2 linked regions of the Oryctolagus cuniculus genome follow. The protein of the gene in region 2 interacts with the protein of the main gene of each other region in a pairwise test. Links are inferred from orthologs where the notes say so. Each region holds a gene or a part of one and is shown on either strand. Other genes may lie near its edges.

The links.
Region 1: the proteins of SH3GLB1 (region 2) and SYP interact in binary tests that used the Homo sapiens proteins (3 or more experiments, as listed by UniProt). The link is inferred for Oryctolagus cuniculus from reciprocal best matches to the Homo sapiens genes SH3GLB1 and SYP.

The regions. Positions count from the first base shown.
Region 1 is NC_091453.1:34,296,585-34,301,036, forward strand, and holds the start of SYP (synaptophysin), read right to left. Parts: upstream 2,832-4,452; 5' UTR 2,722-2,831; coding exon 2,686-2,721; intron 1,464-2,685; coding exon 1,398-1,463; intron 316-1,397; coding exon 191-315; intron 1-190.
Region 2 is NC_091438.1:84,411,015-84,415,396, forward strand, and holds the start of SH3GLB1 (endophilin-B1), read right to left. Parts: upstream 2,850-4,382; 5' UTR 2,481-2,849; coding exon 2,409-2,480; intron 1-2,408. UniProt on the Homo sapiens protein: May be required for normal outer mitochondrial membrane dynamics. Required for coatomer-mediated retrograde transport in certain cells. May recruit other proteins to membranes with high curvature. May promote membrane fusion.

The sequences.
Region 1 (4,452 bases), on a different chromosome or scaffold from region 2:
TACATGGTCCCAGATATCCAGAGCAGTGCCAGGTACAAGGCAGGTGTTCAGTGCACCAGTGGTGATCCAAGTGGATGCGGCCTCTTGAGGTGGGGGCTGGGCAGGGGCCCCTGGGGGGAAGAGGTTCTGGCACATCCCACCCCACCCCTGCTTCTCTCATGTCAATTGGGATCCCAGAGAGGAGTCACACCTGAAGGGGTACTCAAATTCAACCTCGATGCTGAGGTCACTCTCCGTCTTGTTGGCACACTCCACGCTCAGCCGGAGCTCCCCACTGTAGCTGCCGCATGTGGCAAAGGCGAAGATGGCAAAGACCTTGGGTAGCAGGGATGGCGATGGCCACAGTGAGCCTGTGTGCACGTGGGAGGGGGGTGCCCTCCTCTGGACAGATTGGGGGCCCAGCAGAGGCAGCAGCAGATGGAGAGGTTCCCCGCCCCCACCCCCTAATCAGGGCTCATCGGACCAAGGACAAGCTGATTACAGGGGTGTGGCTATCTCTTCCTGTTTCTCTCTCCCTGGGTGTCTCTCCACGCTCTGACTGCCCTCCTTCTCTGTCTCTGTCTCCACCTGCGTCAGTCTGTCCCTGTCTGTCTCTGTTCTCTGCGTGGCTCACTGCATCTCTATTTCTCTTGGTTTCTCTCTCTCTCTCTCTCTCTCTCTCTCTCTCTCTCTGTGTCTTTGCCTTTCTCAGATGTCTCTTTGTCTCTGACTATCTCTGCCTCTTTCAGTATCTCTTTTTTCCCTAGGTCTTTCTGTGTGTCTCGCTTTCTGTCCGTGTCTCTGTCTCTCACCTGGTGTCTGTATGCCTCTCTCCTTGTCTCCCTCCTGTCTGTTTTGCTGTGTGTTGTTTTTTTTTCTTTTTTCTGGGCGTCTTTCCCTCCCCCACCTTGTTTCCCTGGTTGTGTCCCTGTGCCTATTCCTCTCTACATCTCTGTTCTCTGTGTGTCTCCCTCTGCCCTTCTTTGTCTCTTTTTGCTTCTCTCACTCATCTTTGTATCTCTCTCTCTTTTTTTTTTTTTTGCAGCATTTTTGTCTCTGTCTCCATCATTCTCCATCTCTCATTCTCTCTGCGTCCTTCGCTGTTTCTGGGTTTCTTTAGTTTTGAGTCTGTCCCCCAGAAATTGGCTACAGGCTCCACCTCCCCCCCTCACTTCAGGAGAGGAGGTAGGACGTCACTTCTCAACAGGGGTACTCTTGGCCCTGTGACGTCACAGCCTGTCTCTGCTCTGGCCCCAACCCCCCCCCCATGTCACCCTGGAGCCCAATCCCCCCCATCCCCTTCCACCCCTCCTATGCATTCCTTACTTTCCCCTCTACTCTGCATCTGCTCTTCCAGACCCCACAGCTTCTCTCCCTGCATCCCCTACCCCCACCCCAGGAGCCCAGACCTCACTCACCCATTGCAGCACCTTCACGAAGCCGAGGGGCTCCTTGACCACCCGGAACTGACCTCCGGCCACCAGCTGAGGAGAGAAACGCGGGGAGGGGGTGGGGTTGTTGGAGGTAGAGAGGGAGGCCAGGGGTAGGGGTCTCAGGGGATGCACCCAGGGGATGGGGCACGTGACCTCGGTGCGGGATGCAGGGGGAAGGTGATGTTCAGAGAGAGGGTAAAAAGGAGAAAGTAACACCTTGAGGAAGGCATGAGCACCAGGATCTGTGAGAGAAGACCCATCGCGGGGTTCAGGACTGGCGGAGAGGTTGGGGTGATGGTGAGTCAGATGGGAGAGGAGTTAGGGATGAGGAAGATGGGGTTAGGGTCCGGATTAGTGGGGGAAAGGGGAAGGTCTGGAAGCCAACTGTGAGTGAGGAGGGGAAGGGGGTCGGGTGGAGAGGTCGAGGAAGGAGTCGGGTCCTGGGGTGGGGGAGGGGGTCTTGAGCGGTGAAGGTGAGTCATCACCAGGGCGGGCGGGAGTCGGGTTGGCTAGAGTGGGGGAGGGGTCTGCATGGTAAAGCTGAGTCAGATGGTGGGGAGGGGTCTGAGGCGACAGGGATGGAGAGGGGTTTGGTACTGGTTAGGGAAGGGGCGAGGTTCGGAGGTGCTGAAGAGTGAGATGGCGGAGAGGGTCTGGACCCATGAAAGTGGGGGAGGGCCGGGACGCGGCTTCACTGGGTTTGTGTTGGGGGAGAGGAGATGAGGGGTAGTTGAGGAGGCAGAGCCGATCGCGCCCCCCCAACCCCCCGCCCCCGGATCTGCTCTCAGGGAAAGGGTCCTGGTTGTCAACCGGGGTGCAGTCTATTTGGGAGGGGCGGGTGTCAGCTGTCCCTCACTCCCGCCCCCGCCCCCACACCTTATGTCGCTCTATTTCCTAGCTCAGTCGCAGCCCCCAGTCTTTCTTCTACTCTCCCCCCCAACCCCCCCACTCCGCCCCTTCCCCAGTCCTGAGAATCCCCCAGCCCCTAGGCCCCTTCCTCCTCTCCTCGAGGTCGCCAGTAAATCGCGGGGCTTCTGGTGGTTCCCGCTGCGACAGTGAGGATGGCCCTCGCTGCGGCAAAAAGCGCACACCTCTCCACCACCTCCCCTTTCCTCCCTTCGCCTGCCGCAGACCCCCCAGCCCCAGCGCCGGGGACCGGGTCTGTGCCGTCAGGACCCTGGCCACCACCTCTCAAGAGTCGGCGGGCTGAAGGGAGCCGCCGGCTTCGGCGGCTGGGAGCGGCGGGCTCTGTCCGCGGTGCTGGAGCGCGTACCTGATTCACCACGTCCATGTCTGCCAGCAGCAGCATCAGCAATGCAGGGGGCGAGAGGCGCCTGCTAGCAAGGGCGGGCGCGGGGCGCGGCGGGGGCGGCGCGCGATCGTCGGAACAGCCCAGGCGGCTGCAGCCCCGCCCCTTGCGCTCCCACCCCGCTCGCCGCGCGCCTGCGCACAGCCGGCTGTTCCCGGCCTCCATTCCAGCCCCGGGGCTGCAGGCTAGCAGTGTGCTGGGCGCATCATTCCCTCTGAAAACATAACTAGAGGTCTGGGGACAGAAAGGACCAAGTCATCCTAACGTATGATGTTTCGACGGGCCTTTTTCTGAGTTTGTTAAATGTGTTCACCGATTTAATCCCTGCGTGGAAGGGACTATTAGCCCTGCTTTCACAGATGGGGAAAATGAATCCCCAGAGAGGTTAAGTGACTTACACAAGGTCACCCAGCCAATAATTGGCAGTGCTCCGAGTCCCTGTAGTTTGAACATAGTTCAAGGTCTTCAGCGTTCCTTTTGGGAAGTCTGCATCTTGAAAACCTCTCCCTCTCTCCAACTATCTCCCTTGCTCCCACTTCTCTCTCCATCTTGCTCAAATACTTGCCTACTCCAACCCTACAGGTTACCTCCTGTTAACTCCTCAGTGCTCTCTTAACTGCTCTCCCTGTCCTTGGCTACGAAAACCAGGTCCATCAAGGTCAATGGTGATTGCCATGTTGCAAAATCCGATGGATCAAATACAGTTGAGGCTCAAGATGCTCAGCCTCACTCACACAAAAAGAAATGCATATAAAAATTACTAAGTGCTTACTTGCTAGTACATCATCTTTTTTTTTTTTAAATAAATGTATTTATTTGAGAGAGAAAAAGAGAGATTCCAATTGCTGGTTTACTCCCCAAATGCCCCAAACAGCTGGAACTCTGGCCAGGTCAAATCTAGCAGCCAGGAATGCAAGCCATGTCTCCCACATAGGGGGCAGGAACCCAAGTACTTGAGCCATTACTTCTGCCTCCCAGGCTCTGCATTAGCAGGAAGTTGGAGTCAGGAGCTGGAGCCGGTATTAAACCTAGGCGCTCTGATGTAAGACATGGGTGTCTTAACTGCTAGGCTAACTCCCTGTACCAGGTGCATCATTTTACATCTATACCTGACAACACTGATTGCCTCCAGAGAGGAGGGAAAATTTTGTACCTTTTGAATTTTGAAATGTGTATATAGATTTAAGCATGGAAATCCACACAAATATGTAATGGATGCTTTCTAGTTGTTGCCTTGTTGGGGGAAGCAGTATGTAGGAGCGGTTAAGTGCATGGGTTTTGGCATTCAACTGCTTTCATTTGAATTCCACCTCTAATGTTTACTCCTGTTTGACCTTGAACATGTAATGGTTTAAAATGATACCTATAGGGGTGTTGTACTGATGAAATAAGATAATCGCTGTAATGCCCCCAGCACAGAGCCCAGTAAATGGTTCATTTTACCTCTTTCACATCTCTGGAATCCACTCACTTCTCACCATCTCCTCTGCCACCTCGCCTGGCTAAGGCAACCATCATTCCTGCCAATTTTAGCTTCTCCACTCTCTTCCCCCTCCCTTCTGTTTTCAGCACAGCGTCAGAGTCTATTTAAAATGCAAAGTTAACTATGTCACTACCCTACTCAAAGTCCTCCTATGGCTCGCCACTGCTTTTAAGAAAAAAAAATCCCACAGTTTGGGGTTTGGCATTCAAGGCTCTGCATGATCTGGCCCTCAGGTGGTTTCTCCTAGC
Region 2 (4,382 bases):
TTCTGGAAGGAAGGAAGGAAGGAAGGAAGGGAGGGAGGGAGGGAGGGAGGGAGGGGAGGGGGAGGGGGAGGGGGAGGGGGAGGGGAGGGGAGGGGAGAGGAGAGGAGAGGAGAGGGGAGGGGAGAGGAGAGGAGAGGGGAGGAGAGGAGAGGAAAGAAGACTCTATTATACTTGTTTGAGGTCTCTCTGTATTTCATCCTATCAGAAAGCCTTGCCCTGACCATCCTAGCTACACAACATAGCAACAACCACCACTTTGCCTATTACCTTATTCTTCTGGCTTTTTTTCCTCTATCATCTGATGTATTTACAAGTTTATTTTCTGCCAGAATGTAAGCTCTAGGAAGGAAGATCCTTTACTGATTGTATTTCCTGCTGTATCACCAGTGTCCAGAATAGTGATGGAAGAGATGGACTAGGCACTTAAGTATGTAAGACCAAAAAGAAAATTGACAGCTAACAGATTAGGACAGAATGAAAAAACTTTTCCCTAAAGAGATGGAAAGAATCATTAAGATTCAATTGAGGAGGTATACTCTTTGCGATCTTTGGTAGATTTACTTTTTAAAATTCTATCTACCAACAATTTAAATCACACTAAATTCCAGAAATGTGTCCTATTTAAGTAGCATGGGTCATATAAAGCATTGTATAGTGTCAAATCTGCACCAAGGATATAAAATCACAGGTAATGGCACCACAGCAAAAAATATGGAAGGCTCTAGTCCTTTATTGTCAGCAATGTTAATTCTAAGTGTCTCAGAAATCAAAATTCATCTCAGACCCTCTATCATTCACTCCCCTTGCACCATGTTTTTGAACTATTGGAAACAGGCTAATTGAAATCAAGAAAGTATTTTAACTATAAAAGTTCAATGTCTTTACATTATACTTAATATTTTAGGGAAGAAGAGGTAGAAGACTTAAGATGGGTAGTTTATTATCACAGAGATTTTGGAATTCGAAATCAAAAGCTAGGAGGAATTTCTCATTTCTTCAGTGTTATTTGTTGCTGTTATTGAAACACATCATGCTACCTTATATTTAAAGTCTCTCTAGGCCACAGCATTCTATTTCCATGTATCTTAAACTTGCAACGGCTTATTCAGATAGAGAAATTAGTTGGCAGTAGTAGGCCAGATGGCAACCAGTTGTTTACTACCCGTGCAAGTTAGGCAAGTTACTGAACCTCTCCGAGGCTGCTTCCTTAGACATAAAAGGGGGTTAGTAACACCTACCTGGCAAAGCTATGGAAAGGACTGAAGGGAGTTAGTCAAATGAACAGCGAACTACTTGACATACATACAAGTGTTTCATAACATAGGCAGTTATTACCTTGCTCTGGCTCTTGCATGCTTTTGGTGAGACCAGTGCAATGTTAGAAGCAACTGTGCCAAAACTGAGGTAAAGGAGACAGGAATGTAGTAAAGCAATGGGACAGGTTTGACATTTCAGTATGCGTGTGAGAAATTAATTTCATTTTCTCTTTACAAAAGAGAATGCTGCTGCTACTGTGACTGTGTTATTAGCTTAAACAGCAGATTGTTTACAACCATGTTGTGAAATTTACATCTGTTCCTGGATGTAACTGACTTAGCACAATGCGGATGACGTCTGTAGAAAGCTAAGCTCCCTGGTACTGACACGTCCTTGATTGCAGCATTCCCAGAGCTAGTCAGTCTATAGTTCCCCTTCAAGTGTATCAAGCATGCCACTGCGGCTCCGGACACCACGTCAATCTTCCCCCCACCCCTCTCCTTACTCCCCAGCTGAGTTTGCACAACGAGAACCCCAAACTCTGGGTCTCTTGGCCCTGGCAAAGTTTGGACGCCAACTGGCGATGTGCATTTCCGCCCCTCCCTCCCCCGGGGGCTGCCAAGCCCAGGGACAGTCCTTTCAGGAAGACAGAGGGCTGGAGGGAACTGCCTTGGCAGAGTTCTCTGGGTTGAGGGGCTGGAAGAGGAAACTCCCTTCTCGGATTCGGCAGGGAGGGCCAGAGGCGAAAGGAAAGCGTGGGGGTGGCGCCCCAATGGTCTGCGGCGCTCGTACCCGCCGCGCTCGCCAGGCGCCGCCGGCCCCGGGAGGGGCTCACCCGGGCGGCCAGGGCAGCGCCTCGACCCGAGGTGAACTCAAGGTGTCCTCCAGGGGCGGGAGGGAGGTTCAGGCCCCGTCCCCACCCCGTCTCGCTGCCCCAGAGCGGCGGTTGGAGAGGAGCGAGGAGGAAAACGCCCAGCGGGACCGTAGGGGCACCAGGCCGCGCCCATCGCCCGAGCCTCGGCCGCAGCAATGCCGCCGGGCGGCCGCCGCCTCCTCGGGCTGGGCGCTCGGGGGCCCCTCCCAGGTCCCCCCTCGGACGCCGCCACCCTTTCCCACCCCCCACCCCCCCCAGCCCCCAACCACTGTGGTACCTGCACGGCCCGACTGAGGAAGGTGCCTGCGTCGGCCGCCAGCTTCTTCACGTTGAAGTCCATGATGTTCATCCCGGGAGGCAGCCGGGCGGAGCCGCCGGCTGACCTAGCGGGGAGGCGGTGGCGCCGAGGCCGGGCTGGGGCGCCGGGCGAGAGCGGCGGGGGCAGACGTGGTAGGTGGAGGGAGGTGGCGCCAGCGCCGCCGCCGCCGCAGCTGTCGTTTCCGCGAAGGGGGAGGCGGAGGGTGGGGCGAGGATCGAGTACCAGCGCTTCAGAACAGGCTGCGCTCCCGGGCTGCGGCGGCGGCGGCCGGGAAGTAGAGCGCGTCCAGCCGGGAGTGGGGCCGCCAACGTCCGCGCAGGTCGCGGGGGCCGAGCTGCAGGCCGACGGGCGTCCCTGCCTTGTGGGGCCGGGCCCCCGTCGGAGGAAGCGAGCGAAGCGCCGGCCGCGGGGCGGAGCCTTTCCCGAAGTTATCGCGGGAACAGCGACCCCTTGAGGCTCGCGGCGGCTCCGCCGCGGGGCGTGCCGGGAGCTCCTCCCGCTTTGGGCCTGCCAGGCTGGAGGGACTGCTGTGGAGGGGGTCCCAGCGCTCTGCGCGTTTGCCTTCAACATCAAAGAACCGGGAGCGCAGACAACCAAGATTCCTCTTTTTTTTTTTTTTCCACCTCCTGAACGAGAAAACATGTAATTACAGAATAGAATTGCAATATCTATGAAATTAGAACAGGCTTCGGTCATCTTGTAGCAGCTGGGTGTGCCGCTGGTCCGCGAGGCTTGGATGGCACTCAGCTCACCTCTTCATAATAGAGTTCAATTTAATGTCCCCATGGGGACTGTAGCCGATTCATTCAGCATTATTGAGTACCTACTGTGCACCAGGCTCTGAGTCAGGTGCTGAAGACACCACACTGAAGAAGGCACTGTCAAGCGCTCAGTCCGGTTACTTGACTTTTGAAAACCTCCCCACTCCCAGCAGAAGCCCTGTGACTCTTTTTTTTCTTTTTGGACAGGCAGAGTTAGTGAGAGAGAGAGACAGAGAGAAAGGTCTTCCTTTGTTGGTTCACTCCTCAAATGGCCGCTATGGCCAGCGCTGTGCCGATTCCAAGCCAGGAGCCAGGTGCTTCTTCCTAGTCTCCTGCACTCCATGTGGGCACAGGAGCCTAAGCACTTGGGCCATCCTCCACTGCACTCCCGGGCCACAGCAGAGAGCTGGACTGAAAGAGGAGCACTGGGACTAGAACCGGGCCCAGGGTGCCCGCGCCGCAGGCAGAGGATTAGCCAAGTGAGCCATGGCGCCAGCCTGCTTCAGGGACTTTAGGTCTCTCTTGAGGCACTTGCTGAATTACAGAGCCACACAGGTGCACACTGTGTGCCAAGCACACAAAGCACATGCTGGGGACACAAAGGGCCTGGTGAAAGCGGCAAAGAAATGTAAAATGGTGAGTGACTTAGGGTAGTCTTAATAACAATGCAGCCTGACTAGTGTTAACCATTAAGTAAGATTGTGAAGTTCACAATCCTTGCATCCCCAGTAACTTCCTAAGCAGTTATAGCCTATGTTAACAGCCTGTGCTAGAACAAAGTAAGACAGATACAAACATGGAAGGAGATGCATTGCTGTATCTCAAGAATAAGAAAACCCTCGCTGGTTTTTGTGGGGTGATGCCCTTTGGATTTAATGTGGCTGGGAAAATGTAGGCCCAGTAAGCAGTGAAGTGAGCTGGCATTCAGGCTTCAGAATTTTACTGAAACAGCGGTTATAGAAGCAGTTGCTGCTCATAAAGGTTGAAAGATGAGTGCAGGCCGGCGCCACGGCTCACTAGGCTAATCCTCCACCTTGCGGCGCCGGCACACCGGGTTCTAGTCCCGGTTGGGGCGCCGGATTCTGTCCCGGTTGCCCCTCTTCCAGGCCAGCTCTCTGCTGTGGCCCGGGAGTGCAGTGGAGGATGGCCCAAGTGCTTGGGCCCTGCACCC